Alligator mississippiensis: one gene and its partners. The protein of the gene in region 4 interacts with the protein of the main gene of each other region in a pairwise test. Links are inferred from orthologs where the notes say so. Each region holds a gene or a part of one and is shown on either strand. Other genes may lie near its edges. The genes, in order: INSIG2, UBE2W, YIPF2 and RNF5.

Evidence for each region.
Region 1: the proteins of RNF5 (region 4) and INSIG2 interact in binary tests that used the Homo sapiens proteins (3 or more experiments, as listed by UniProt). The two-hybrid records come from large-scale screens. The link is inferred for Alligator mississippiensis from reciprocal best matches to the Homo sapiens genes RNF5 and INSIG2.
Region 2: the proteins of RNF5 (region 4) and UBE2W interact in binary tests that used the Homo sapiens proteins (3 or more experiments, as listed by UniProt). The link is inferred for Alligator mississippiensis from reciprocal best matches to the Homo sapiens genes RNF5 and UBE2W.
Region 3: the proteins of RNF5 (region 4) and YIPF2 interact in binary tests that used the Homo sapiens proteins (3 or more experiments, as listed by UniProt). The two-hybrid records come from large-scale screens. The link is inferred for Alligator mississippiensis from reciprocal best matches to the Homo sapiens genes RNF5 and YIPF2.

The regions. Positions count from the first base shown.
Region 1 is NC_081827.1:242,412,184-242,420,171, reverse strand, and holds the start of INSIG2 (insulin-induced gene 2 protein), read right to left. Parts: upstream 3,018-7,988; 5' UTR 2,929-3,017; intron 2,574-2,928; exon of another isoform or gene 2,501-2,573; intron 1-2,500. UniProt on the Homo sapiens protein: Oxysterol-binding protein that mediates feedback control of cholesterol synthesis by controlling both endoplasmic reticulum to Golgi transport of SCAP and degradation of HMGCR.
Region 2 is NC_081826.1:58,930,795-58,938,369, reverse strand, and holds the start of UBE2W (ubiquitin-conjugating enzyme E2 W), read right to left. Parts: upstream 3,009-7,575; 5' UTR 2,915-3,008; coding exon 2,900-2,914; intron 1-2,899. UniProt on the Homo sapiens protein: Accepts ubiquitin from the E1 complex and catalyzes its covalent attachment to other proteins.
Region 3 is NC_081831.1:23,571,212-23,578,901, reverse strand, and holds the start of YIPF2 (protein YIPF2), read right to left. Parts: upstream 3,011-7,690; 5' UTR 2,792-3,010; coding exon of another isoform or gene 2,787-2,791; coding exon 2,756-2,786; intron 1,980-2,755; coding exon 1,837-1,979; intron 1,412-1,836; coding exon 1,331-1,411; intron 1,016-1,330; coding exon 928-1,015; intron 747-927; coding exon 630-746; intron 174-629; coding exon 7-173; intron 1-6. Other genes in the region: TIMM29 (mitochondrial import inner membrane translocase subunit Tim29), read left to right, coding at 3,125-3,215, 3,493-4,133.
Region 4 is NC_081834.1:62,662,363-62,669,201, forward strand, and holds RNF5 (E3 ubiquitin-protein ligase RNF5), read right to left. Parts: upstream 3,003-6,839; 5' UTR 2,453-3,002; coding exon 2,316-2,452; intron 1,954-2,315; coding exon 1,935-1,953; intron 1,825-1,934; coding exon 1,712-1,824; intron 1,630-1,711; coding exon 1,575-1,629; intron 1,508-1,574; coding exon 1,396-1,507; intron 903-1,395; coding exon 811-902; 3' UTR 428-810; downstream 1-427. UniProt on the Homo sapiens protein: Membrane-bound E3 ubiquitin-protein ligase that mediates ubiquitination of target proteins. May function together with E2 ubiquitin-conjugating enzymes UBE2D1/UBCH5A and UBE2D2/UBC4.

The DNA of each region.
Region 1 (7,988 bases), on a different chromosome or scaffold from region 4:
GTCTTTTAGTCTCCACTCAGAAACAAGCTCAATGTTCTCTACTGACCATGCTAGAAGACTTTTCTGAATGCAGTTGAGTGAGTGTTCATCTTTCCTGCCCACAGGTAATTGGTATTTAACACAGTATTTCACATGAATTGCCCTGTCTTACACCACTTATGCTTTCTTATCTCTAGCAGAGGGAAACAGTTTCTGAGCAATTTTAGCATTTTGCTACAGCTCTAGAGATGTGAGTTTGAGACTCACCAAAGACTGTCCCCAGCTGTAAATGGGTACCTGGCTACTCAGGCTGGAGGGTGCCCAGATGTGATCCCCAAGTCTTTAGTTATTTTTTTCCAATCACAATTTGCTCAGAAGCCTAGCATATAATTAAGGTTGAGCCAATGGACCAGTAGTTCCAAAATAAGTCTCTGCTCTTAACAATAGGTACCATCCAAAATAACTTTCTTCTCTTAACAGTTACCATATTTGCCATGCTACAGTTGCTGTATTACTTCAACTGTAAAGATGTATTAAAAATACCTGGTACTGGACATGCAATTTCATGTGGCAGTTCATGTGCCAACTTCATGTGGCAGTTCTTTAGAACATCTTTCAATGTTACTATTATTAGGAGTGCTTGAGATTTGTTGTCACCCTAATTTTTGTGTTATTTCCAACAGTGCTAAATGAGTTTAAAACATAACCAGATCAGAATATTAACAGATCTCATTGCTAATGTGACTTGTTAACTGAATGAGAATCAGACAAGGCATATTCTAGTTTATAGAAAATAAGCTTCTCGTAGATATTTTCTCTTATACTTTACCTGGATTTTCTGGTCAGACAGCTCACTTAGCAAAGCCCAGCCCTAACCTAGGACTCATGTCTCTGCTGTTGATACTGTGCTATCCTCTTAATTAATTATGTATCACTGGCATGATATGAAAGATAATAAACCTGTCTTACATTTTTGGTTTCAACAGCACTGCATCAGCACTTCATTGCATTAAGAGACTTTTTCCTTTAAATAAGAAAGTGGAAGTTTATCTTCATTGCTGCCATTGTAATTTCACATCATGCTTGCCCTCAAAGAGGGGGAGACAGAAGAACAAGACAGGGAAATTGAGAATCAAGTAAAATGAAAGACAGGGAGAGTGGCAAGTGACCTGTGTCAAATTAGATTAGTGGAATAAGTCACTCAACCTCAAAACAGCTGTGGGACCTCCAAATCAGACTGTGACATTGCTACACAACTTAAAGAGTACAACAGAAAGCATGAGATGAAAGGGATAGCAGTTTGTAGTTATAGTTACTTGACAGCTATAATTCACCTGTAATCATGCTACTAACAAAGCAAACTCTAAACCAGTGGTTCTCAAACTTTTCTTTTCACAGACCACTTGAAAAGTGCTGAGGCTATCAGCGGACGACTTAATCTCTGTCGTCAGAAAAAATAAATCAAGTGCAGGGCCAAGTACAGATATTCTCAATTGTTCCACAACCTTTCTGCAGACCACCCGAATGGAGCTCACGGACCAGCGGTGGTCCACAGACCACAGGTTGAGAACCTCTGCTCTATACCAAGCTCAAATAATTTTATCTAACTGCTCTGATTAATGAAATTTCTAGTGCAAATGCAGCAATACACATTGTGAATGTGCTTGTAAAAGCCAGCATCTTTTCTTGAGCTACTACCACAGTGTATTGTTTAAGCAGGAGAATACGCCCCCGAGATTCATTAATTCTAATCCTACGCTGACTTTTTGTAGCACTTCATAGTGAGTCACCTTACTTCTGCTCCTCAGCTCCTCCACCTGTAAAGAAGAGTTAACAACCAACTCGGTACCTTTCAGGGTTTGCACCACGATCCTCACATAGGTCCGATGTATACAGACTGCATTATCACTTAGCCTCCTCTAATAAGAGAGACATGATCAAGATCTTTTGAGTCAATTATGAACAACATCTTTGGGAATAGGAAGTATGAAGGTATCACACACACAGGATAATTGAAGTCTTGTTACATTTCATCCCAAATTTCTATTCCTGTCTAAACTGGGCTATCACAGGTTGAATGCTGAACCTACAATATGGTTGAACCGTTGAGCTTTCTTCTTTTGAAAATGGAAATTCAAAGCCACCTTAGTCAGGGGTGGGGGGGGGGGGCACGTGCCCCCCCTAGGGACCAGTCACCAACTGGGGGCTGTCCCCCCCGGGGCCAATCTCCCTGCAGGCCCCCCTCCCCATCACCTAAGCGGGGAGCGTGGCCAGTCAGGGTGCACGTGCACCCCCGACGCGTCGCCACGGCGCTAGCAGAAAGCGACAGAGACAACGCCTGTGAGGAGACAGCTTTCGCCACACTTCATCCTTTCCGCGACGTGCTACTTCAACGCAAACTTTTGCACGAGGGCATGCACACGTGACCAGGCAAGATGCTCCACGCCGCGCAAATTAACTTAACTGCCACCATGGATGGCTTACAAACACCGCGCGTCACGGCATCCACCCTCACGAGCACCTCCAATCGCTTGGCACAGGGGTGGGCAACCTCCAGCACGAGTGGCACGGGACGGCCGAGCGGTGCGGGGGCTTGACATCTGCCAAAAGGAGGGTAACTTGGCGCCAGCTCCCACGCGAATGACTCCCCAAATTGATGGTGTCCCTCAAGCGAGGAGGCGAGGCCGGGGGGGACCCTCAAAAGCCGAGGGAGCAGAATGGGCCCCAGCGAGGCCACCTCAGGGCCCCACATCGCAGGGGGCTTCTCCCCAGAGCTGGGACAGGCCTGAGACCCCCCACCAGCTGGAGGCCCCTCAGCCAAGGGCTGCCCCAGCCTCGCCCCTGACACCGTGTCCAAGGCCCGGGCGCCTCCCCCCGGCGGACAGGCGATGCCGTCCACGCTCAGCATCATCCCCCACCCCCCAAAGCCCCCGCGCCGCCGCCGCTCACCCTGCTCCGCCATCTTCTCCCTCCCCCGCCTCAACCCGCTGCAACTGACTCGGGGCGGAGGGACTTCCGGCCGGCCGGAGGGAGGGGGATTCGGGGCGGAGGGACTTCCGGCCGGTTGCCTGGGAAGAGGGAGGGAGGGAAGTCGGGGCGGAGGGACTTCCGGCCGGCAGAGGGGAGCTGGGGAGGTCGGGGCAGCTGCGCTTCCGCTGCAGTCGAGTGGTGCACGTGGGAGGGGCGGATTGGAAGGAGAAGGAGAAGGAGAAGGAGAAGGAGAAGGAGAAGGGGGAGGGGGAGGGGGGGAGCAGCTGCTTCGGGGGAGTGGTGCACAGGGCAGTTTTTTTGGGTAGATCTGAGGTTTTTTGAAAATGCAGGAAAGGAGGGATGCTTTTGTCCCCCCCTGCAAGAGGGTGAAGCCTTGTTCACACGGTGCTTCTCCTGCAGGGCCTCCCAGGGGTGTGAGGAAGGGGTGCAGGCGCTGCAGGACATTAGTACATGTAGTGCAGCCGGGGGGAGAAGGAATCTGGTCCCTGACAATGAGCCAGAAATAAAGTCAGGTCTCCCTTTTGGTGCCTGCTGCAGCCAAAGTTTAAACCCCCCACTGCCTGGCAGCAGTGTTTGTGGTGGGGCGGCGCTGAGGAGTCGCCTGACATCATGGCTCATTGAATCTGAGGTCTTCATCCTCTGGGGTTAAGGACCCTCTCTTCTTTTGAACTGTCTTTGAACGCACCCAGCAAGCTAGGTTTTTGGTTGGCCCAAGGACATCGGCAGGCAAGGGTCTTTGAGTCTCTTTCTATATGCACGTTACCCAAAGACCCTTGCCTGCCCCGGTCAAGCCAGCCTTTCCTCCGCCGCTCTGCCCTGTTTTTGCTGCTCCTGGTAATGAAGCTCCTATTTCACAGCCCTGCGGGCTATTTTCAATTCCTTGCATTTGTTTCTGCTCTAACCTGAAACTGAATCATACAGCCCTAGGTTCCCAGTGTATTGGAAAAGCTAGTTTCTTTTTTAACTTCAGGAAAAATGTGTTTTGTTTAACAGGTGACGATGCACCTCACCCTGGGCACCCCACCTTTTCAAAGTCTAGATCTGGCTGTGAACGCAGCACGCGCTTTTTTTAAGGTACATAAAAACTAGAAGCTTTACAAGAGGCCTAGAGCTATATTATTCAGCTGAAGATCAAAGCAAAAACAAATACATGCGTATTGGGACGCGTATGAATTCGCTGTGTTGTATATCGTGTACAGAGCCAATCTTAGGCGTGTGCAGGGCCCAGGGCATATCAGCCTGTGCGGGGGGACATGGCGGTGGAGGGGTTGGCGAGCGGTGGGGAGAGGGAGTTGGGAGCGGCTGGAGCAGGGGTGGGGGGGTGGCCGGAGCAGCGTGATGGTGCCCTCAGCACATGCCAATGGCACTATCTGCAGGGCCCCCCAAAGTATGGGGTCCGGGGCGGTGGTCCTGATTTGCACCCCCCCCCCCAAGGGACGGCTCTGATCACGTAAAAACATCACAACAAACTAGGCAAAAAAGAAAGAGATCGAGTGTGTTTCGTTAGTCCTGTAGTCACTAGAAATATATGTACAGATCTCTTTCAGCTTCCTAAAACAAAATCTAGTCTTCTTGAACATCATGACAGTGCAACCAATACTTCACTGAAATGTATTTTCATGCCTAAGTTAATGTTTTTAGCTAAAGACAGTCAGCAGGCCTCTGAAATAGGAACTACATTACCAGGAGCAGCTAGTAGGTAGTGGAATTGCAAAAGGAAGATAGTTCAATTATTTGATCATAAGGGCCATTACAAAGGAAAGGAAGTTGTTTAACACCTGTGGTATGAAAAGTTTAGAAGGAATCAGGTAGATTATAATGAGGCATGAAGATAAGTGATGCCTTCACTGCTGCCTGAATAGAGATGCTGCAGCCTCTGCCAGGCAGTTGATTTTAAACTTTGGGTAGACCAGGAATTAAAGGAGGGTGGGGAGTGACTGCCATTGCGCCTCCCTGTAATCTGCTCCTGGATCTTTTCAAGGGTGCTGTGGGGTGCCATGCAACGTTAGCACCCTTAGGTGTGCAGATGTGATTCACACGATAAACCCAGAGATTTCAAATAGGCATCCATAGTGTTGAAAAGATTCTGACTTGCTGTGGGCTTTCTGAGTTCTTTGCCACAAAACAATTATTCTGTTATTTTTCCATAGTCAAAAACTTGGGTAAAAAGTAAGAGCTGGTGTTTTCTGAGGGCTGCCTAGAGCAGAATGAGAGATACCTTGAGTCTAAAAAGTTTGAGAACTACGGGAATGAGGAAACCACCATGAAGTAACAACACGGGTGAGAAGAGAAATGATTATGTAAAGAATGAATAACACTAAAACATAAAGCAGCAAAGAAATGATCCTGAAGAACTGCTGTAATAAAAGTGCAAATAAATCATAACATAAGCACTAAATGCCCTGATCATGTGAATAGCTAAACACACACACACATGCACACACACAAGCTCTTTACATCCACTGCAGCACCAGTGATTTCTCTTAAACCCAGTTGCATTGACTCAAATGAGATTAGATGCAAGAGAGAGGCCAGTGTTTTCGATCAGTGGTTTTCAAATTGTGTTCTACCTGGGGTTCCAGGAGGAGGTCTTGGGGGCTCCATGGAAAAAAATTGGTAATAGCAGACAAGTTTGTAAAATATACTTATTGTTAATTATTTTTTGAAATTTTGCAATTTGACTCTTGTGTTTCACTTACATGACCACCTCGTGCCTCCTGAGGCTGGGGGAGGCACGGTGATCGCCCACAGGTGGCGGTGTCAGCGGCGGTGGCGAGTGGGGACCTCCTGCAGGCAGCCACAGTGATGTCAGCAGTGACGGCAGGCTGAATGGGGACCCTGGCAGGTGGCCGCGGCGGTGAGGTGGGGGGGTGGCTATTGGTGACCACCCGCAGACGCCGCCGGCAGCGTCGGCAGTGGGGGCTGGATGGTGAGTGGCTACCCCGCAGACGCCATCAGCAGCAGCCAATCTCAGGGGGGTGCACGTGTACCCTCATGCACCTTCTACGCACCGCCAATGGTGACTTATTGATAAAAAAACATTAACTCAGTCTTTCTAACCCTTTCTGCTGAGACGATCCATGCCATATGTTTTATTCATAGGACAATAATACGATATGAGATTTGCCCGCCTTGTTTTGATGGACAGTTTACAAACAGAGGTACATGATCGAAATCTGGCAGCAATGTAGGCCTGGTGTTCCAATGTGATTATTCTGTCTCTGCGTCGTCGTATTTCAATCAGTCAGTTGACAAGTGCCTTGATGTCAGAGCAGTGTTGAACTGTCTCTTAATATTTTATATTTTTGATTTACCAAGAAAAAGTATGGATTGGTGACTGAAAACAGGCAACGTTAAGAAAAGTAGTCAGGAAAAATGCCAGATTTCAATACAACAGGAAGTAATTACCAGTGCTTCTATTGTTATATGTGCCAGCATATCAAATCAGTCACAAGCTCTTTATCCAGTGAGCAATGAATCAAAAACCAAAACATAAGTACCATGCAAGCTACATTAACTATGGTTTTACTTGGACTGGTGATAAAAACAAGACAGATGGACAGTGTGTTGAGTGTGGACAAGTTTTGCCTGACAGCAGCCTGAATCCAGCAAAGTTACAAAAGCTTCTGGAGGCAAAACACCCACAAGTTAAAGACATGCATGGTGATTATTTTAAAAGGAAATGTAACAATTTTATTAAAAAATCACTACCTAATGTTATTTTGTTGTTAAGACAACAGAAATGCTCTTGAAGGATTCATAAATTCATAGATGTTAGGGGCTGGAAGGGACCTCACGAGATCATCAGGTCCAGCCCCCCTGCACTAGGGCAGGGAAGACGACAACTGGGGTCAGATGACCCCAGCAAGGTGTGCGTCCACACGTTTTTAGAGATCTCCAGGGTAGGTGTCTGTACCACCTCTGGAGGGAGTTTGTTCCTGACCCATGGCACTCTGGTCATAAAGAATTTTTTACTTATCTCCAATCTGAAGCAATCCTCAATCAGTTTGTGTTCATTGTTTCTTGTCTTCCCTTGGGGTGCCTTGGTGAACAGATGCTTCCCCAGACCCTGCTGTATGCCCCTTATATACTTACAGGCTGCCACCACGTCCTCTCTAAGTCTTCTTTTCTCCAGGCTTAGCAGTCCCATGTCTTTCAGCTTCTCTTCATATGACCTGCTCTCCAGACCTCTAATCATGCGCGTGGCCCTTCTTTGGACTCTTTCAAGCTTCTCCACATCCTTCCTGAAGTGCGGCACCCAAAATTGGATGCAGAACTTCAGCTGCCGTTTCACCAAAGCTGAGTAGAGCGGGAGGATGACATCCTTAGTCTTGTTTCAGATGCATCAGTAGATGCACGCCTGTGTTTGATTAGTTCTGCCAGCTATGGCATTGTACTGGTGGCTCATGTTCATTCTGTGGTCTATTATGACCCCCAGATCTCTTTCAGTTGTGGTGCTGGCAAGCACAGTACTGTCAAGCCTGTAAGTGAGTTCTTTAATTGCTAAGGTGGATGATGTGCATATGATTGCTGAAAATTTAGGGAAGCCATGAACAAAAGGAATTTTAACTTGCACAATGGGTGAAAAAATTAAGAAAGCTCATTGCTATTATTCCTCATGCAGACCATACAGTTTCTCACCACATCAAAGATCTTTCTGATCACTGGCAAGCAGAGGTAGTTGTATAAAAAATAGTCCTGTTGGGTTTTTTATTCAACTAGATGAATCTACCAAAGAAGAAGGATTGGCTATCTTGCTCATAATCGTGTGCTATACTTTTTAATCTTCTACATGCGGACCTGCTGTTGTGCTGCCTGCTTAAAACAAGTACAAAAGGCAAGGCTATATTCAATATCCTTAATTGTTTTATGCAAAAGAATATGATTAACTGGGAACTTCGTACAGATGTTTGTATCAACAGTGCAAAAGTCATGATGGAAAAAGTCAAGGGTGTGGGTAGCGTGCATTAAAAATGTTGCCTCTCATGGAAAGCAGACATTGTAGTCTACATGGACTT
Region 2 (7,575 bases), on a different chromosome or scaffold from region 4:
TTTTTTTTTAACATTGCTAATATTTCTGTGTTTAATTCACAAAACTCTTGATCTTCCCTAATTTTGCTGCATGTGCTGAGGGTTTAAAAATCTCTGGTAGCTTTCATAATTTAAGGTAAGTGACTGGGTTATTGAATTTTAGCAGACTTTTTCCTCTCCCTAAAACACTGGTCACTACACAAAGTCATTTTTAATTATTGTTTGCTTTTAGTTACTCCAGTTTCACTCTCCAAGCTTCATGTCAGATCCTTCATTGTCCAAACATAGCCCAACTATCAGGATAAAAACAAAAGGCGAAGAGGGGGAAAATAAAAACAACATATTTCAGACCATCCATGTACATCTTAAAATGCCAAAAAATTAAAAACAAAAAAACACAAGCCCATATTTTCTATTTTGGAGATCACCTTTAAATGACTGGAACAGAGATGATGTCCATATTAAATACATTTACAGAAAATACTGCATAAAAAGTTTCAAAGATCAAATAAAATAGAAGTCTAAAGTGAATAAGCATGCTCCTGCTTTGTCAAGGAAATTGCATCCATCTCAAAAAATCTGAGGCATTTTGAGGAGTTATTTACTTTTGTTGCATGCAGCACCAAGAATTAACTGCCATAACTGCAAGATTATAAACAATGAAAGTTTCTTCTTTACTTTGAATACCTGACAAAGCTTTGTGTATAATCAGTTCCCCCCACTTTCACAGGTCTTTCAAAACACAGGAGGTGCTTATTAAGGAACCACAAAATAAGACTGGACCAGAATGGAAGATGTGCACTACCTGGAGACACACATGCACATCAAAATTATACTTATAAAATAATTTTGAAGTTTATGAGCCTGTTTTAAATCAAAACATACCCTTCCGACTTGCAAATTGCCCTTTAAAAAAATTAACAGAATCTAAAACATTTATAACATTCCCCAGAATTTTAAAGGTTCCACACTTAACAAGACTGAAATGAGTAGTGTCCATAATATACTATCAATAAATGCAGATGCCCAAGAGAATAGTATTTATTACATTAAAAAAGAAAAGAACTAACTTCCTCACTACCATATTTTCAAGAAATAGGTATTAGCCAGAAGACTTATTACCACAATTTCTCACATATAACCCACAGCTTTTTCCCAAATGCAACTGGGAAAAATTGGGGTGTACATTATTAACAAGGAAAAGGACTCCTCACAAATCTGGTTTGTTTGGGGGTTTTTTTTGGGGGGGGGGGGGGGGGAGAAAGGGTGGAGCAGTGGTAGCATTAATTACCCTGGTTCTGGGAACCACTACAATTAACATTGCCACTGCTCTTCACTCTTCCCCAAATTTCCCAACCTGTGGAGAGTCCTTGTCCCCAGTCACATGCTGGACTGGGACAGTGCATAGGGTTGTCCTACAGCTGGAATTGGTACACCAGGTCCAACCCACCACATGGTCCTGGACCCAGCACATGGCTTCAGATCCAGAGTGGTCAGTCTGGCACCATGTACAGCCAGCGCTCAGGGTTGGATTTAACCTGCAGCCCTGCCCTGCCAAGTAGTCCCAGTTTCGGCTTGCTGAATCCATCCCCACTGCACAACAAGTCAGATCGGGCTAGCCCCAGTCCCAGCCTCAGAGATCCCCAGATACCTGGTACTTACCTGTACTCCAAGGCAAGATTCCTGCCCCCCCTACCCCCATCTTGGTGCCTTCCAATAATAAGGGGCATATTACTCACGAAAATACACTACTAGCACTGTAACTTTTGACCTGTTGATCTCCCTAAGCTCCTTAATTATTATCCCTCTTTTACAGAAAAGGAAGAAAGGTGATGGGTGGGAAGACAGTTAAACAAGCTCCTGAAGGACATTTAAAAGGCATAAAGAAACAGAACTCTAGCATCTCAAGTCCCACAAACTGCCTCCTCCAAGTTTCACAATCGATACTTCCCCATATCTGCACCAGGTTTTGAAACAGATCATTGCCCCAAAATTCTGTTTTGCAATTAGTCAAAACTGGGCTGCTTGAAGAAATGCGAGCATAAAATCATCCAACACTTCAAACATGAATGGTCTCACACAGCTCTTCAAGAAACTGGAAACAAAGGACTGACGAGTCTCTCGGACTAGTGGATTACTTGGGGCATTGCTAAATCGGGAATATTCTGTGCTGCGTGTTCAAGCTTTCTGCTCCCTTTCATCTGAAATGACTCAAAAGACCAGAGGACTTCTACCCCTTTCCTGCAGAGCTCTCCACAAGCAAAACCTGAGGACAGTTTCCCCAACATCCCCAGTTTAAGGTTGGGGCACTTAGCTCCTGTTACTCCTACACAGGTGCACAGCTCCTGGTCTGGTTTGCACTTCCCTCCCAGGATGGGGCATCCCAGGAGCCAGGGCCAAGGCTTTATGTGGAAGGAGCTTCGCTGGACCAGAGGATTAGGAGTAGAGACAACCTTGAGAAAACCTAAGCCAGCCAACTGAGAAGATGGTTCCAGGTGGGAGGAGGAAGGGTGGGCATTTCTTTTCAGAGTTAAGGGAGGACTTTGGAAAGGAAAGCCAAGAAGCTGCAGGCCGGCGCCTGACAGGGACGGGCGGGGAAGCCGTGGGAAGCAGCCACCGAACCACCCAGCCCCGCCAATGCCGCACCGCGCAGACGCCGCCGCTTCCGCGGTCAGCACCCGGGCCGTAGAAGGACCCGCCACGGCAGCGGGCTGCGGCCCAGCCCGACGGGGAGCGGAGCGGGGCCCCCACGGCGCGCAGGGCCCCGCCCCACCGGGCGCTCCCAGCTACCCCCGGCCCGGCCCGGCCCTGCGGAGCAGAAGGCGCCCCTGGGAGCAACCTCCACCCCCGCACCACCAACCGCTGGCACCGCCAGCCCTCAGGGAGCTCCGCCGGCCCGGCGCCGCCGCAGGCTCCTCACCTGCATGGACGCCATATTGGATCCTCCCCCTCCCCTCTGCGCCGCCGACCCGACCGCTACAGACGCAGCGCCGCCGCCGCCGGGTCACGTGGGCCGCAGCCCGGGCACCGCGCATGCGCCGTGGCGAACAGAGCCCCACGTGCCTCGAGCTGCACCAGGCCCTGTCTTCCGAGGAGCCCGGCCTCGCCTTACCGTATTGCGCAGTGTGTAAGGAGCGGGCCGCGGAACACGTCGGCCCGAGCCCTGGAGGAAGGAGGGCAGCTGCGCCTTCTTCACGGCTTGTGCAAGGGGGGGGTTGGCTTTGCATGGCCTGGGCTGTCCTCATCTGGCTCCAGGCCACAGCAAACAGGTGAAGGGAGCTGAGCAGTGATCCCAGGGGCCATGCATCCTGCCACAAAGGTCTCTAACGTGTGGCTGGTCCGGGTCTGCAATAAGCCTCTTTCAGCCCACCCCCCGCCTTGCATAATTAAAGTAATGTCTGCCAGGTTAAAGACAGACTGGTTCTGGGGAGGCATAAGTTTTCAGAGGCAACCAGCTACTTCATTGGCTCTGCATTAAATCAAGAACATCTTTGTAGCTGGCTCCCCAATATATCACATGGGAAATTAGCTGGATGGGTGGCACAGGACATTTATTGTACAATTCACAAGTCAGTGCTGTGATACATGCAACACCTGCTGGGCCTGAAAGGCCTGCCCTGCTCTGTGCTGTACTCAACTTCATGCTAGCGTAGCTAGCTACCTCACCTTACCACACAGCAATGGTAGAGGAGCAAAACCTGCTCTGTGCCCCTTCTAGAGCAGTAGCACGATCCTGGGAGGTTTTTGTACTGTTAATTAATTAATTAAAATAGTTTTGCCTAACCTGCATAAAATGAACTGCCAAACAGGAGATTTTAGCACACCTTTAACTCTTCTATGAAATATGAACTTTCATTTCTATCTGGAAGAACTTTTACAATCTTTTCTCCTGTGCCTAAAAAGGCATGCTTGTGCCCAAAAGCTTGAAATTAAAGAATTTTTTTTTCAAAAATCTTGTTTATTAGAATAACTATGTCTCCTCTACCATAAGTTCTGATACCTGTTGCCTCTAGACCAATATGGCTGCAACCCGGATACCTTAAAATGGTTTCTGCACTGATGTTCTCATTCTTGAGTACTGGACACTAATAATATCACTGTAATGTATTTGCTTACTTTCCCAGGTTTTGAAAATGGAGAAAACAGGGGCAGGGCATGAAAGGGAACACCTTTGTGATTTGAACTAAAACAGTAAGTGTGCTAAGTTATAGTGAATCAGCTGTCTCAGAAAGGACAACATTCATTGATTTACAGGCAGCAGGGAAATAGTAAATGCATTTAAACTTGGCTGTGGAAGGAACTAATAACCTACTAAAAGTGAGACTGAAAAGGTGTGGGGGATAGGGGCCTTGAAGACATCTAGAAACATCTTTACACTAAAGGAAATATAAAGATGACCCTCAGTTATTTCAGTTTCTAGCTCAGTTTCTTCTAACTCTCGTGTATCACCTCCTTCTAAACACAGCATGATCAAGCTCATGGTAATGCCCCACCAACACTGATGATAAAACTAATGCTTCCAAAAGCACATCAGATCTCACACACAGCTAGTGCAAGTGTGCGCTGCTCTGATGATGCTGTTGGAGTCGGACTGATGCATAGAAGCTGAGGCTCTGGCCACCTACATTTTACCTGAAGGTCTTTTATCTACATGCTGGCAGATTCCACTGAAGTTTATGTGATAACATTTGACAAGATCATAATTCCAGGTGACATTTGTGTTACACTGAAGTGATTGGTATAAATACCTTCAGTTTGCTGTACTACTTTTGAACTAAATTGCGCAATTAAAATATTAAATGCAAATTGTTGTTACTGTTCCACTAGATTAAGTCATTTGACACATATACATGTTATTCTAAAAAGCATTCCTTGATGCAAAACGCCACACATGTCAAGAACACTAAGGTTAGGCAACAGACACGTGCTTAGTTAAAAACATACTGATGGTTAGCCAACAAGGGTGTAATGACAGTAAAAAATTATTTGAATCCATTATAATCAACTTTTGAATCCTGTGTTCCAGAAAACCTAGCTCAAGGTCAAATGATAAGAGGTGTGTGCAAGGCTGCTACGCCTCAGTGTGCAAATCAGATTTTCCTTTGTATGACAGTGTGGAATCAGAAAAAATATATGCCTTAAACTTTGATTATTTTAGTTATAAGATGACATAACCGCTTTGTGTAGAATTGCTGGCTCGGTACAGTAGAACAGATAAGGGCAAGTGTTTGTTCTTTGTAACTCTTCTGCAAATGCTTCGCTCACCGCGGCCTTGAAGGTAGAAAAAAAAAGTATGTACAAAGTAGATTTCCAGGTGCAAGAAGGAGGTTTGTGAACTAACCCTATCTCCCCCATAATTCCCATCCTGATAACAGCAAAGAAATAATGAAGTAATATTATAGCCGCTTTTCATGCTAATTTCACTATATGATCACGTGAGTTGTAAGCGACTGTTAAAAAGTATATAAGCCTCCTGATTTTGCTCTTGGGGGGGGGGACCCCTTCCAAGTGCTTGGGAAATCCATGTCACTTTGGAACTCCCCCTACAGCTGTAGTTTCTTTTGAATAAAAGCTTCTGCTGACCTGACCCAAAAGTACTCTGTGTGTGTTTCCACGACAATTCCTGGTGCCGTGACTCGGATCCAGAACACAGGCTGAGGAAGGAGGACCGCAGGCTACCCCCCCCCGAACCCTGAGGCGCCAAACTTGAGAGGTAAGAGACCTAATTCAAAATCTCTATTGGGGTTTCGGAGGAGGACTGCCTGTAGGCTCCCAACTTGGCCGTGATAACTGGATCTGAACCTTGTTAAAACAGGTCAGTCTGAACCTTACTGCCGGCTAAAATTTTCTGTCTGGTAAAGGATCCCATTTTGTGTCTGGTAACGTACGTTTTAGGGAGAAACTGTTTGAGGCACCTTCATCCAACAGCACATCGGGCTTGTAGTTAATTAACTAAGGCGGTGTGGGGTAGGAGGTCTGGCTGACTGAATAAATGTGCATGTGTGTGTGTATTTAGAAATATGAGCCACTGACCAGGACTGAGACTACGGTTGGGCTCAGCCGCCCCAATTCTGCCTGACAGGGCAGTTTTGAAAGCAAGGGGGCCCAACTGGAACCTCGTGACCCAGTGGACAGGGCGTCTGAGTGATTTTGTCTTTTCCAAACCCCTCGTCCCAGTAGCTTCTGCCGAAAGCAGGAGTGAAAGGATCCCTCTAGTGTTTCCCTCCCCATTTCCATTTTATGAGCCGGTGTCGGGTCAGAAGCCTTTTGTCTGGGCAGTGAAAAACTGCGGGGCAAGGCACTGAGCGGCCCGGACATCCTAAATAAGCCTCTCCTACATCTCCCTGTGTGACTGAAAATGGGAACAAGTCAGTCTAAACAGGTTCCTGTCCCCCCTAAGGGGACTCCGGCGTACTTTATGTACACACACTATTCTCCCGTGACTTGCAAGTACTTGAATAAGTGGAACTGGTATACTAGGGATGATCCTGTGAAACATTTTCCACAGGAAGGAACATTTGATCAGGATAAAATAGTGCACTTGAGAGGGGCGTTAGAGTCCCGTGGATCCAAAACACCACAAAACCAGTGGGACGCGTTCTTTTATTGGTATGATGAAATGTCCAAAAGGCGGACAGAATCTCAAACTAGGAGCCTAAAAGACTCTCAAGAAAAATTAAAACAGCAGTTAAAAGCTGTTCGGGAGAAATTGGCTGCTCCCCCAAATTACACGCTGGCCACCGCTCCGATGTATCCAGCATTGCCCGGGGCGCCCCCACCACCGGAGCCAGCAGAGGATATCCTTGACCTTTGTTCGAACCCTGCTCTCCTGGGACTCCCACATCAGCAACAACCGGTTCAACATCAGGCTGCAGCCCAGGCTAGTGACCCATTAGCTGAAGCTCCTTCAGTAAATCCATCCACGGAGCTTAATAGTCCGGACTCATCCACCATATCTGCCACTAAATCATCACCAGTGTGGCAATTTACTCCTGGGTCACAACCCACCACAGGTGTATTTAGAAGAATGGGAATAGGCATGAAAAGATCTCCCATCAATCTGAGATCCCGAACTGCACAAGTTTACCCCCTAAGACAAATGCCAGGCATTGGCACCGATGGACAAAATATAGTAACTGTGCATGCACCCTGGACTCCAGGTGATCTCTACAATTTAACTCAAAAGTTCCCAAAAATCAGGGAAGACCCAGAAAAATTTCAGGAAGAATTGCAGACTGTTATAAATTGTTATAATCCAACATGGGCTGACATTAATCAGCTCATGCGATCCATTTTGCCCAAGGAGACTATGCTACGTCTGTACGCTGCCTGTACTTGGCCAGATCAAAACCCAGGGATTGGCCAAGACTTTATTGACAAGAGAAATGCTTTGGTTCAGACAGTTCTCACAATTTGCCCAAAAAAGGCAGACTGGACCAAAATAAATACCTGTAAACAAAACAAAAATGAACACCCCAGTGACTATTTAGAACGCCTCAAACAGGCATTTGAACGATACTCAGGAATGGATAACCCAGTCGAAAATGCTAAACAAACAATAGTGGCAGCATTTGTCCAGGGACTTAACCCTAAAAT
Region 3 (7,690 bases), on a different chromosome or scaffold from region 4:
ACTCACCGAGGCAGGGATGTACACTGAGAGGGAGTAGCCATAGACGCACACAGTCTCCAGGAGGGTGTAGGAGGCCACATTGAGGCAGACACCCTTGCGCCACTGCAGGTAGCCCCACAGGGCCAGCGGCACCAGCCCCGCATAGCAATAGATGGCAACGCCTGCAATGGTCACTGCCAATGGATGGGCTCCTGTCACCCAGTGCTCTGCGGCCGGCCGGCCAGCCAGCCAGCTGGGGGGGCCTTTTGTGTTGTTCCCCCCCCCCCCCAACAACCACCACCCACGGTACATGCTACAGGCACTAGGACAGCAAAGCAGCCAACAGTGAATCAGCTCAAAGCTGAGACTCAAATGCCAAGAGGTGGGGTCCAGGCCTCCTGGGTTCTCTCCCAGCTGTGGGAAGGGACGGGTCTGGTGGGTTAGAGCAGGGGGAACCGAGGACCTTGACACCTGGGTTCCCCCCACAACTGGGAGAGGAAGGAGGTCTTGTGGTTTGGGGCTGGGAGCCAAGACTCCTAGGTTCTTTTCACTTAAAGCTTTGTGCCTGGCAGGGGTCAAGTTTGCCCAGGAGCCTGGTGGGTTCTCATGGGGCCTGGCCCATGCCTGCCTGTCCCATACCTACCCCTCACCTTTGTGGAACTGGGGGCTGTAGCGGAAGGAGGTGTTGCCATGCTTCTCCAGGAAGTTGGACAGGTTGCCACTGATGGCCAGTGTGAACACCAGCGTAGTGCAGATCCAGAAGGGCCCTGGAAGAGGCCAAGGGTAGTGCGACCTTGAGCCCAGGCTGGGGCAGAAGCCAGAGACCAAAGATGCCCTGCTTTGCTCTGGTTGACGGATGGCACCTGAGCCCTGGGGCACAGGAGGCCAAAAGGGCTCAGCCTGCACTGCCCTGGCCTGCCCCACATCATGGACCCCCTCTGGGCTCACCATACAGGTCAGGGTTGTTCCGTAGATAATGCCGCACAAAGTTCTTCCCTGGTAGTGGAAGCAGCGATCCCTTGATCCTGTCCAGCACCTACAGTGAAGAAAGCAGGAGTGGAGTGAGGCAGGCAGCTTTCTGGGCTCACCAGGCAGCAACCAGAGAGCAAAGCTGCATCCTGGTCCTAGGTGGGGGCTTCCCAATATGATTATAATACATAATGTACAGTCCCTAGTGCAATGGGGCTCTGGCCTGCGACTGAGGCTCTCAGGTGCTACCATACTATACCTAATAATGTACAAAGCCTCTGGGAGCTGAGAAACCCATGAATCTATGGGACTCATTCCTGCCAGCATCTCTAACTGCCTGTGTCAGAATGCTGCCTTCCCACAAGGGCGCAGGCTCCATTACCTGGTAGGTGTCGACATCAAAGAAGGCCTGGTAGTACTCGAAGGTCCAGAAACTTGGTGGCTGCTTCTGGCCGCTCAGCAGCTGCGAGGAAGGGAATGTATGTTACCACGCGGCCCCACCAGCCTTACCCACAGAGAACCCCAAGCACCTCCAACTGTGAGCCCAGCTCCCTCCCAGACCAGTGCACCCCACCCCAGCTGCTCCAAGCAACTGGGATTACCCAGCATGCCAGGCAGGAGCCCCATCTCCAGAGAGAGCCACAACTGAGGTAGAAATACTTGATCTACTTGGACCCCGATGGCTTCCACAGCTAGCAGCAGCTGGGAACAGCCCAGGCACAGCTGCCCAGGCTGGATCTGGACCTAGGGCTGGGAAGTGAAGGGCTCTTTATTCCACTAGTGCACACTCCCTGCCCCAGCCAACCTTGGGCCCGACCTGGAGCCAGCACTCCCCTCCAGACTAGTCCTGCCACCCTCCTGCCCATGCACGCTAGCTTTGCCCCCGACCTCTGTCTTATCGCTCTCATCGCCCTCCTCGTTCTCGTCATAGCTGGAGCCCACATCCAGGGCCACATGGCTCTGCCGCTCACTGACACTGGTGGTTGTTGCATCGGGGGTTGCAGCCAGCAGGTCGGCGGCCTCATCAAATTCTGCAGGGGTAAAGCGCCAGCCATCACAGCCCAGGGCTCAGGGGCCACTGCCTAGTCCAGCCCCTCACTCCTGAGCCTGCACCCTCCCAGTGTCATGCCTTGAAGGAGCTGGGGAGTTCATCACCCTCGTTACGATGATACAGAAGGTACTTCTATCTTGGCCAGAAGGACCCAGGTCCCAGTTTTATGCTCTAACTGCCAGACCACACTGTCTCCATTAGGCAGACCTATTTGTTATGCCCAGAGGAGTGTGGGCCTGGCTCACCCGGGAGCTATAAACCTCCCTCCACTAGGCAAACCTATGAAGACCTAACGAGAGTATTTGGGGCAACGAAAGAAAAAACAAGGAAGGGAGCAGGCTCAAGGGCCGCTAGCAAGTGCTCGGGGGGGGGGGGGGAAGGGGGGGGTGCTGAACAGCACACCAGCCAGCGCCGTGCCCCTTCCCAGGAAAACTGCTGGGATACGCGCGTGGATGAGGGACTGGCAGATGCCCCGCAGACGCCAGGCTCCCTCAGCCAGAGCCTCTCGGCCAGAGGCAGGGGGAGGTTTGCCGGGGGGTACCCGCGGTCCCAGGAGGCAGGAAGCCAAGGGCAGCGGGTCCGTCCCTGCTTCGTGCCAACCGCCCAGTAAGTGCCCGAGGGCGGCGCGGGGCCCGGCCGGGCTCTGGGGGCGCCAGAGCCCCAAGGCCTCGCGGGAGGAGGGAAAACACCTGCTGCAGCCGGGTCCGGTCCCCTCGCGGCCCGGCGGGACCTCCCCGAGGGCGGCCGCCTGCTCACCGTGGAAGCGGAGCTGGTCGGAGGCCGCCATAGCATCAGCGCACCCCGGGCTCCTGGGGGAGACGAAGGCTTGTTACGGCCGGGGGGGGGAGTGGGGGAAACTGAGGCGCGAGCTCCTGAGACACCCCGAGGCGGGGCCCTGCTGTGCAAGGGGAGCACGACAGGGAGGAGTGACGTGTCCTGGCAAAGCCGGGCACCCCCCGCTCCAGTGCTGCGTGTCCCTTTCTCCGGCCTGGCCGCGCGCACTCCCGGGGGGGGGGGGGGGGGAAAGGAAAGGGGAACCGCCCCCCCCCCCCCCGAGCTCCGGGATGGTTTCGTCCGGTCCGGCACCACTTCCCCTCCGGCCGGAAACAGTTTCCGGTTGGCGCCATGGCGGTGGTAGCAGACACCACGAGCGGCGCGGGACTCGATCGGGGGGGCAGGCGCGGCTTCTGGGGGCGGCTCGGCGCTAGCCGCCTGGGTAGGTTGGAGGGGGAGGGCTCCTGGGTTCCTGGGGCTAGGGCCTGGCAGCTCGGACGCCTGGGTTCTTCCGGGGGGGAGGCAGCGGCCCGGGTTCCCACGGGAGGAGGGGCTGGCGCAGGGCCTGGCAGCCCGGACTTCTCGGTTCTAATCCCGGCCCCGCGCGTAGCTGCAGGTCCCTCCCAGAGCGTCGGCTTCCCCAGCGCGGGCACCCGCCGCCCCTTGGTGGGCTGGGCCCTTGATAGCCAGCAGCATCTGACCTTGCTGCCCCTGTGCAGGCCAGTGGTGGAAGAGCCTCCTGCACGATTATGTGGAAGCCTGTAAGGAGGTGGTTGTGGGTGCCCGGCAACGGCCCGGGAAAGCCGGGCTTTACCTCTCGGTGCTGGCCGGGGCAGCCGCCTGCAGCCTCCGCATCCCCAGCGACACCTCCTTCGATGCCTCCCTCCTCGAGGCCTCTGGCACCCTGCTCCTCCTCTCCCCCTGGGTCTGCAACACCACCTCCAAGGGCCACGTTCAGCGCCTGATGCAGCTGAGGAACTGGGGGCAGCTGCGCTACCAGAGCCTGGTCTTCTTTTCCCTGGTGTATGAGGCCCCTTTCGACGCAGAGACCGACCTGTACTTGGCTCAGTGCAAGCACCTGCAGCCGCGCTGGACAGAGTTTCCAGGCCGCATCCTGGATGTGGGGTTCTGGGGGCGCTGGTGGGTTTTAAATGCCAAAATGAAGGACTCTGACATCAATGATGAGGAGTTCCAGAACCTTCCAGAGCAGCTCCGCATCATCTCCTTCCAGAACCTCCACTCGGAGACTAATGAGAGACTGTTCGGCGAGAAATACAAGCCTGTTGTCCTGACAGAGGAACAAATCGAGCAGGCAGAGAGGGAGATGCAGCCACTGCCTCAGGGGGTCACAAACCAGTAACCTGAACCAAGCAGCGGTTGCTTGAGCCAGGGTGGATATGGAAGCTCAGATAGGTTTTACTATGGGATTGTTTCTTGTTGGACCCCTCAGCCTTGTTGCATGCTGATTTCCCAGCCTTGGTGGCACTGGCATTCAATAAAGAGGATGCGGAGGCTCTTACGTTTGCTGTGATTTTTGTACTAACCTATGGGATGCGTTATCCATGGGCTTGCCTTGCCTCTTGTGGGTACCATGCCAACCCAGTGCTTAGAGCAGTGATTCTTGATTGGGACCCTGCACCACTCTGGGGCATCTTAAGATCCTTTCAGAGGTGCTACACAATGTTAGTGCTGTTAGACATGCAAACAGGATTGACAAGATAAGCAGAAAGGTTTCAAGTATTAATCCAGAGTGGCAAAATGTTCTGACCTGTTCAGATCTTTCTGTGTTTTCTGCAACAGAAAAACTGCTCCGTGATTTTTGTGTAAGAAAAATCAAGTGGAAGCTAAGAGCTGACCTCTTCCAAGGTTCTATCAAGGTGTGCCTTGAATTGAAGAAGGTTGAGAACCACTGGCTTAGAGGTGTTCCAGGGTAATGTCGCTCCATAGGGCTTCTGTCTCTTCTAGATGAGTTCAGATCCAGTGCTCAGAGGGGAGACTGGTAACAGGGACCCATGTGCTCTTGAAAATGGTACAGGTGGCATGTACAGGCACGCTCCTTTCTGAGCTGCTGCTGCTGCCCCCAGTGCCCAGCCCAGTTTTGGGGGGCAGGGCAGGTGAGTCATAAAGGGAAGCCTTTGCTTTTGGGTGGATAATCCGCTAGGGCCCACGTGACTTTTGCAGCTCTGTGATAGTTGGAATGAGGTGAAACCAAAGCCCCTGGTCACTGGGGAGTATTTGAGGCTCCAGGGCATCTGGGGCAACATCAGCCAAAACGTCTGTTTGGGGTGGAGGTGGCCCAAGCAGCATCACTTCCAAGGGGGCTGGTCTTGTTTGCCTTCTATCCTCTGCATAGAGCCTCAGCTGTATTGTAGCCCCCAACCCAAGTCTGAGCCTTCTGTCAGCTCCTCAGGGAACAGCAGAGGGTGCTAAAGAGCTAAGGAAAACTCCTTGGTACTGCTGCTCTCAGACAAAGGTGCAGAGATTCCCACTGCAGTTCTCCCTGAACCTGGAGGCAGCCCAGGGGCATGGACCTGCTATGACTTGGCGGGCAGTGCACAGTTCACAGGCATTTAGAGAAGCCCCTTATGGAGCTGCTAAGACTGAAAAAGGTGTCTCTTGCTAGCCCAGAGTACAACAGAAGTGGGTCGGGAAAGAAACAGGCACTTACCTCTTTTGGTGAAGGGGTGGCAGAGAAAGCAAAAGATAAACTGAGTTCCCCAAGACAGGATGGCTGTTCTGCACCTGAGCTGGAACAAGAAGGCAACATTCAGGAGCTGGTTGGGCTCTTAAAATATCCTGTTCTAATGATTTATTAACCTATTGAATAATTGATTGAGCAACTGCAGGAGCTGGGGTCTTAGAGGCATCTGCTGCCTAGGGATTTCTGTTTGATTCTCTTTGATTGTGATGGCTCAGCCTACGCTCCAGCTCTTTTAAAGATGAATGAGAGACACTGACAGTGGGGGGAGGGGTTGAGCCCATGCACACAGCTTGGTGTTCTGGGCTCTGTGAAGTGCCCTCTTCAGCCAACATAACAATGCAGTGGGGGTAGAAATGGCCCCTTGAGAACTCTGCTGTGCTGGGGCTTCCCCAGCTGGTACAAGAGCCCCATACCCAAGCCCAGAGGTAGGGGGTAAACCATAGGTGTGGTCTGTTGTCACTGTTCTCTGTTCCCCAGGAAGTAGAGTGAGAGTGAGCAGCTTTTGGACTGCCCTTGAGTTTGGGTGGGAGGGGGGGGCAAAGAGAGAGCTTCATGCTGCCTTCCTCCACCCACTTCTTGCTTCCCCAGCCAGGGGGCAGGGAGTCAAGACCTGGATCTACAATGCATGCAGCATGTGTGTGAGAGAGAGGATTAGGGCTCATCTGCCCAGAAAAGTTATTCCAATTCAAGTGGGCCATGAATTTAAAGCAGAAGAGCTTGTCTAGAAAAGACACAAATGGAATAGTAAAAGCAGAAGTGTTGCATGCATGACATACCTAGAGATAAATGCAGTGTGTGCATAGTGACAAAGCACAAGGTAAATATTACCCAGGAACTTTCCTTTCTGTCCTCTCAATCTCTGCATGGCATTCCAGCACTGGGACATCTTGACTTGCTGCTGCTGCTGCCGCCAGTTCACTAGTAAATCCATCTGCAGCTCTGGCTTGTGTAAAAAAGTGGGGGGAACAAACATTAGCACTGCAGTCCTGGTTTGCGCACACACTCAGTCCTTTCAGTACCAAAGTGCTTTCAAAAGGCCAAAATACTGCCTAGCCCTCAGCTTGGAGGTAACTGCCCATAAACAGAGAAGGGAAATTGGTGCTTTAGTAGCCAAGGGTTCCCATCTTGGTTTTTTTGCTGTTCTCATTTGGTTATGGCTCCTGGCTGCTTAATTTCATGCTGTTTGACTGGTTTCTCAAGCAGGCCTTTCACTTACTAGCTTCCCTTTCTACTTTGGGGAGCTTGGTTCCTTTATTAAAAACCTGGTTCTCTTTAGCAAAGTTGGACCTTACACAGCTTGTAATAGGCCTTGTTCTAGTCTCCCCAGTTTTCTGTCCTCTGGAGAAATGGAGGACCCAGGTGAGCAAAAGCAAGATAAATGACAAGTGTGTATAGTAGTCACATCAGGCTGTGGCCAGGGAAAAGATTGATTTGTGCACCCTCAGCCTTTTTTTTTTTTTTTTTTATTTAAAGGAGTCTGTCAGGTGCTCTGGAAATAGAGGTTCCCAGATAGAACAACAAAAAACAAAGCAAGGAGGGTGTTAAAATACTTCTAGTGTCTAAAGCCCCCAACATGTAAGGGAGGGAAGCATTTATTCATGAGTAGCTCTGAGGTCACACTTCAGGAGGGGGCTTCTAGGTATCACTGGCTTTGCAGATGCAGGTCCTGGTGTTAGTTGTGACCCAAATAACTTGCTGCGTAGCAGTACTATGTGACATGGGGACAAATCTGGCATGGTAGAGCACTCCATTATAAGCATTTCTAGTCTCATCCCCAGACTGGATAAACTCCATGCTCCTATTGGAGCCAAATTTGCATCCAATTCAGAATTGAGTCAGAGGCTTGAGCTCAGCCACAGTAATTTTGATCATGTCTTTCCATTGCGTGTTTTAGTAAGAGTTATAGGCCCATCTGTTTAAAAGTAAATTGATTTGTTAGGAATACGTTCACAGGTTTTTAAAATAGTTTTATGCAAGGCATGCAAATATGAAATGTCTCCTCAAACAGTTCTTGAATAATTAATTCAGGTTACATGATCAGATAGTGAATCCTACGCATACACCTATAACAGAGTTAGCAAAGAAACTCCTCTAAGCTTTGAAATCCCTTCCTTAAAGGGGTGATTCCTGCTAACAAAATCACATCCTCTGTGGATCCTTCCTTCCACTGTATCGACAGAGAAATGATCTGGAAAATTAAAACATTTTCAGCACAA
Region 4 (6,839 bases):
TGAGGTCTTGTGGGTTCCGCAGCCAATAGCACCTAGTTTTTGGGGGCACAGACCCTCTAAGTTGTTTGCGGGGGGTCACGGGAGGCTCCCTACCCCCCATTGGTTGTATTTTCTTGGCTTATGTAATAAAATATATTTCTTCCAGGTGCGGGAGGCTGTTCCATGGCTTTGGATTGGCTCCCTGGGGTGGGGGGACCCCACAACCAGCCACCTCATCTCCCCAAAACAAGGGAACCCCTCACCATCTCAGTGACTCCCCCCAGGGGGGCACAGGTAGTGGGGTCCAGAGTAAACTCCCAGACCTAGGGGAACAACTTATGGTAGATCCTACCCTTGCCCTTTTCAGTGTCTCTCACTCCTAGCCCGCAGCCCGGGGTCTTATCTGCTCTCGCCTCATTCCCCTAATGAGAGTCCAGATACCCCAGGGTACGAATCACCAGTGCTTTAATGACACCCCTGGTCCCCCTGCCATGGGGGGGTGTGGGGTCACCCTGATTTGCCCTGTCCCATAAACACTCACAGATGCCCCAGAACTGCCCTCTCTCCCCCCACCCCATGTGCAGGGAGCACCAGGGCCTGGCCCGGCCAGCAGGGGATCACTGGGGAGAGCAGAGGCCAACCCTGAACTGGCCCCTCCCCCCTATTAGCCCTTAGGGAACCCCCCAAGTCCTGCCCCTTGGCCACTACATCATGCCCCCACGCATGGGGGAGGGGCAAAGGGGAAACCCTGCTAGAATACTGTAGCCCCACCCTCCAGGGGTTAACCCCTGCCTGTCCATGGCAGGGGTGCGTTGGAGGGGAGGGGGGGGGTCAGACACTGAGAAGCCAGAAGAGGAAGAAGATGGCAATGAAGAGGAAGAGCGAATCCTGCCAGCCAGAGGGCCGGGGGCCAGCAGCTGCATCTGGGGGGGGGAGGAGAGAGATGTTGTAAATCAGGGGTGAGCAAAATGTGGCCTGTGGGCTGGATACAGCCCACCAGGCCATTCTATCCGGCCCATGGTGCCCCTAAAAAATTTAGAAAATTAATATTTATCTGCCCCTAGCTGCCTGTCATGTGGCCCTTGATGGCTTACCAAACTCAGTAAGCAGCCCTCCACCCAAAATAATTGCCCCCACTGCTGTAAACTGAGGAGGGGAAGGCTGGCGGGGGGGGACTAGTGCCAGTGTAGGGTGGGTGGAGGGTGGAGAGGAGCCTGGGGCATGTGGGGGTACTCAGAAGGGGGCCCATGGGCATGTGTGGGATGGGGTAGGGGAGCCCCGGGGGGTCCATGGGAGTCATCCTGATGTGGGGGGAGCTCAGCCTGGGGTGGGGAGGGCGTGGGAGTCTGCCAGCATAAGGGTTGCCCAAAACAGGGTGCAAGGACCCTGGGTTTGGGGTGCCAGGGGGTCTCTTACCAGCTGGTGCGTCAGGGCCCCGCATCACGGTGGTGAAAAAGCCGAAGGGGAAGGCGCCGATGCCGAAGGCCATGTGGAAGCCAGTGTCGGGGAAGACAGGCGGTGGTGGCCCCTGCAGACACAGGGTATTAGCTGGGGGTGAGGGGGCAAAAGAAGGGCAGGTGGCCGTTTTCACTCACCCCACGGCTCTCAGGCTCCGGGCGCTGGCCCCGCGGCCGTGGAGGGGTCTTCAACCTGGGCAGGGGCAGAGATGGGGCATCAGGGCGGCAGAAGCCAGGTGCCTCCTGCCCTGTAAATGCCCTCCAACCCTGCGTACCTGGGGTCCTGCTGCCCGGCGCTACCACGGCCATACAGGGGGATGACCTTGTCACGGCTGATGCCTGCCTTGCACACGGGGCACTCCTGCCGCTCTGGCCGTGTCTCCAGCCACTGCCGGCGTGGGGGGTAGGAGAGGGGGTGAGGGACCCCCCACGACTCCCCCACCTGCTCCACATCATGCCCCGGGGGCGGTGGGGGACGAGGGGGAGGGAGGGACTCACCTGGTGCAGACAGGGCCAGCTGCAAGGTGTGTGGAGGGGGGGGGAGTGTTATGGGGGTGGGCCTTGAGGCCCCCCCCTTTCAACTCACCCATGCTAGCCCCTCCCCCACCCTAAGCCCCTCCCCCACCCACTAGACCACTCCCCAGTCATATCCGATCCCCGCCTCCGTCCTCCCGGCCCCACCCCCAACCATATCCCACCCCTTTCCTCCCCCCATCCCATTCGCGCCAGCCCCACCCCCACTCCAGCCTCCCCCACCCATAGCTACGCCCCGCCCCCTCCCTAGGCCCCTCCCCTCCCCCACAGCTAGGCCCCTCCCCCTGCCCCACCCCATGAGAGCCCCCCACCCAGGCCACGCCCCCACCCGGCCCCGCCCCATACCAGTACAGGTGCCCGCAGAGCCCGATCACGGCGTCCCGGGCGGGCTCCAGGCAGATGTTGCACTCGAACGCACTGCGGTCGCGGTTTGGCACCTCGGGGCCCCCATCGGGGACCCCCGGGCCTGTCCCGGCCGCCATCTTCCGCCCCACCCCCGGAGGGGAAATGCCACCGCCTTCCTTCTCAAGGGTCCCATTGGCCAGCGGGGCCGCCAATCAGCCGCGCCCCCCGCTCAGTGGCCGGTGACGCTGCCTCTCAAGGAAACTGGCGAATATGATTGGCGGGAGGGTAGTTGGCATTACCACCAGATGAGGACACGCCTCTGCCAGTGGCTGACTGGGTAGATTTGCTGTCCATCACACGTTGCCTCACGCTCATTGGTCACTGCGGCTTGGGTCCCAGCTTCTCAGCGTGTAGGATATTCACCCGCTTCCTATGGGTGCCGGCTCCCGTCAATCACGAGTAAACGACGCGTGATTGGTCGCTTCGGGGTAAGGTGCGGGCAGGAGCGGAGAAACTTTGAATGAACAGCTCCATAATCCAATTATTAGTAGCCATAAGTGAGGCGGGACCCCCAGGGACATGTAGGATTCTATTGGCCTGGATTCTTTCTGTCATGCTGACTGATTGGCTGAGGGGGAGTAATTGTAATTAACAAGCGTTTAGGCCAATCCTCGCCCATAACGGTTCCGGACTGCGGAAGGGATTGGAGGAGCGGGCGGCGAGGGAAAGGCCACTGATTGGCTAAGAAGGCCGGTGGGGGCGGGGCACACGTGTCCGCTGTGAAGCCCGAGGTGCGGTCAGCGGCCGGAGAGACCGAGGCAAAATGGCCGCCCTGGAACCATGGCAACTGCCCTGTCACTGGAGCAACCACAGTCTGTCCCTGCCAGCCCCGTCACCACGGCAACCGCCACCCCCCGCCCCTGGCAACCAGTCCTGTCACTCCTGCAACCATCACTTGGCCTTGGTCGGGCCTGCCCCGTCACCATGGCAACTGCACCCCTGCTGTGTCACCATGGCGACTGCCCTTGCTTGCTATTGCCCCCAAACCCTCCATCACCTTGGCAACCCTCCCCCACGGCCTGGCCTCGTCGCCATCGTGACGACGTTGCCATGGCAGCAGTCCCCCTTTGCCCTGGGGCCCGACTGGCCGCCCTGCCACGTTGGTATAGCAACGGTCACTGGGGGGCCACGGTAACCATGGCAACTGCCCCTCTCCTGGGCACCCCCCCACTCCTGGGTGTCCCTCGAGTGCCCCCCCGCCACGTCTCTATGGCAACCGAGGCAGCCCCAGGCCCCGCCCCCGGGGCAACAGGAGGGGGCGGGGCGTGGGGAAGGGGCGGGGCCCATTGGGGTGGGGGTCCGTAGAGGGGCGTGGCAGGGCGGCGGGGCTCGCACGCGGGAGGGAGCTGACGTCACGGGGTCCGGGGGCAGGCGCGCGCGCGGGCCCCATTGGCCGCCTCCCCCCAACCTTCCCCCCCGGCTTCCGGTGTGAGGCCCCGCCCCTTTCCGCCCCCTCCCCCCCTCCCCGAGCATCCTCTGCCGCCATGGCCCGGCCCGGCCCGCCGCCCTGAGCGCCCCCACCCGCACCACCCGGGGCCAGGTGCGGGGGTGGATGGATGGGGGGCTGCGGTTGGGGGGGCCTGAGGGGGGGGACCCTGGGGGATGGGGGCTAAGGGGGGTGTTCGGGGTGGGGGAGGGGCTGCCCCGAGCGGGGGGGGGGCTGGTGGTACCCTGCTTCAGCCTTGGCAGGGGCAGCCCTTTACTCCCCTGCAGCGATGGTTTGGTCCTGCTCCCCCCCTCCCCCCCCAGCTCCAGGGCTCAGGGGTTCGGGTGGACGTGGGGTCCAGTGGGGTCTGGGCGACCTGGACCCCTGTGGTGTGTGCATGTGTGAGCACGTATCCCAGGTGCCTCGGTTCTGTGCGTGTATGAGTGCACACGTGTGCTTTGGACACATGGGTTGTGTGTGTGTGTGTGTGTTCCAGATGCCTGTATGTTGTGTGTGTGTGTGTGCGCGTGCGTGCACCTGTTCTGGAATCTGGGTTCTGTGTGTGTGTGTGTTCAGGGTGCCATGGTTGTGTGTGTACATTTGTGTCCAGGGTGCCTGACAGGTGTATGTCCATGTCCCAGATGCCTGGGTTGTGTGTGTGTGTGTTTGTGTGTGTGCACGCGCGCGCATGCACGGGGGGGTTACAATTGTTCTGTGGTAACCATGAGTGCCTTTGAGGGTCATGGGGTGTTGTGTTCATGTGTGTGTGTGCATCCAGAGGGGTCTGACTTGCACATGTTTGTGATGGCTACTCCTTCATGTGTGTGTCTGTGTGTAATGGGTTGTGAGGGATGTGGGGTTGTGCATGTGTGCAACTGTGATAGTTGCAGGCACTTGTGAGGGGCACTGGGTATGTGTGCCTGGGGGGGCACAACTTCTGTGTGCATGCACGTATGCATGAGATTCAGGTTTGCATGTGTGTGTGATGGTAGGAGGGTGTTGGGAGAAATGTGTGTTACTGTGCTGGGGATACAGTTGGTGCGTGTGTGAAGCCTGCAGGGTGTTATGCAGGTATCATTTTCACCTGTGTGTATGTATCCCCACACCTGGGTTCTGTGTGCGCTGGGGAGAAACAGTTCTTGTGTGTGTGTGGTTGTGAGCAGCTGTGTGGGGCACAGGGCAGTGTGTGTGTGTGTGTGTGTGTGTGATGTAGGGTGTTGTGGAGGGGTACAATTTTCACCTGTGTGTGTGACGGTAGCAGAGTGTTATGGGTAGTGTGGAGTACTGTGCTGGGGAGCAATAATTTGTGTGTGAGAGAGAGAGATGCTTGTGGGGTGTTGCACAGGGTTCACTTCTCACTTTTGTGTGTGATGGTAGGGGTGTGTGGGGTGCAGTGCTGGGGGTACAGTTTGTGTGTGTGTGTGTGTGTGTGTGTGTGTGTGTGTGTTGTTGCGAGCCATTGTGTGCAGTACAGGCCACTGTGTGTGTGTGTGTGTGCACGCGTGCATGTGTGTGCATGTATATGTGAGACAGACAGATACTTGTAAGGTGTTGTGGGGTACAGTTCTCGGGGGGTGTGTGATGGTAGTGGGGAGTTGTGGGGAACTGTGCTTGGTAAAATTTGTGTGCGTGTGAGATAGTTATGTGGGGCCTAGGGTACTCTGTGTGTGATGCTTGGGTGTTGTTGGGGGTACAATGCTCACCTCGTTGTGTGTGTTTGTGTCTGTGTATGTGTGTGATGGTAATGGCATGTGAGGGATGTGGAGCACTGTGCTGGGAAGTACAAGTCTTGTGTGAGTGTGTGTGATGGTTGTGTGGGGCACAGGCCTCTACATGTGTATCCCAGGTGCCTGGGTTCTGTGTGTGTGTGTCTATTCACATGCAGATGTGAATGTGTACTTGTTTGTGTATTTGTGTGTGCATGTGTATATGCTGGCATGTGCATGCATATATGTGTACTCGTGTGTGTCCTGGGTGCCTGGGTTCTGTGTGTGTGTTGGATGCCTGGATTCTGTGCATGTGTCCATCCATTCACACGTGTGTGTGTGTGTGTGTGTATTCACGTGCGTATTTGTGTGTGCACGAGTGTATTCATTTGTGTATGTGGCATGTGCGTGTATTTGTGTTCTTGTGTGTGTTTGTGCATGCATACAGGTTTCCCATGCTCCCTGTGGCTTGCTATTGTGCGTGCCACGGCCCATGCCATAGCTGTGTGTGTAAATCCACACCATGTGCATGTGTTCACCTGCCTACCATGTGTGCTGCCATGGCCCCTATCCCCCTGCAGTTGTCAGGCCCAGGCTGGGGTTGAGTCTGGGACAAGGCCCCCCTCGGGTGCAGGGTGGGGTGGAAGATCAGGCGTGTGCACGCCTACATGTGTGTCGGGAACTTCCAGCCCTGCGGCAGGGAGGTGTGTGTGTGGCACCGGGTCGGAGTGTGGCAGGTGTGTGTCTCTGGGCATGTTGACACATGCACAGGGCTTGGGCAGGGTTCGGTTTGCTGTGCATGTGTGCGTGTGTGAATAACCACGTGTACTGAGAACATTGTTTTGCATGCAGTGAGTGATATGTACTTGCTCTGCCACAGTTGCACTAGCGTACAAAGTTACGTGCACTCACTTGTGCATGTGTACATGCACACATGCAGTGGGTTTGAGCAAATAGTGTAGCTTGGTCCAGTGTGTGTGTGTGTGTGTGTTGTGGACACATGGTCACTGTGTGTGTGTGTGTGTGTGTGTGTGTGTGTGTGTGTGCGTGCAAATGGTAGTGTAACAGTATGCTGCAGGTGTGTGTATACATGAGTGTTTGAGCAAGCACTGATAGCATAGTTCTGCTTATATGCATGCACACACACACTGAGTAAATAGTGTGTGTTGCACACAAACATGCATTTGAGCAAGCAATGAGCATAGAACTGCTTGTTATACGCAAATGCACACGGTGTTTGACAAGTAGCAGAGAAATGCTTGTTTCACACTCACGCAGCATGTTTGAGCAAAGCGTAGCTCTACACTGTGTGGGTATGTTGCACACATGCAC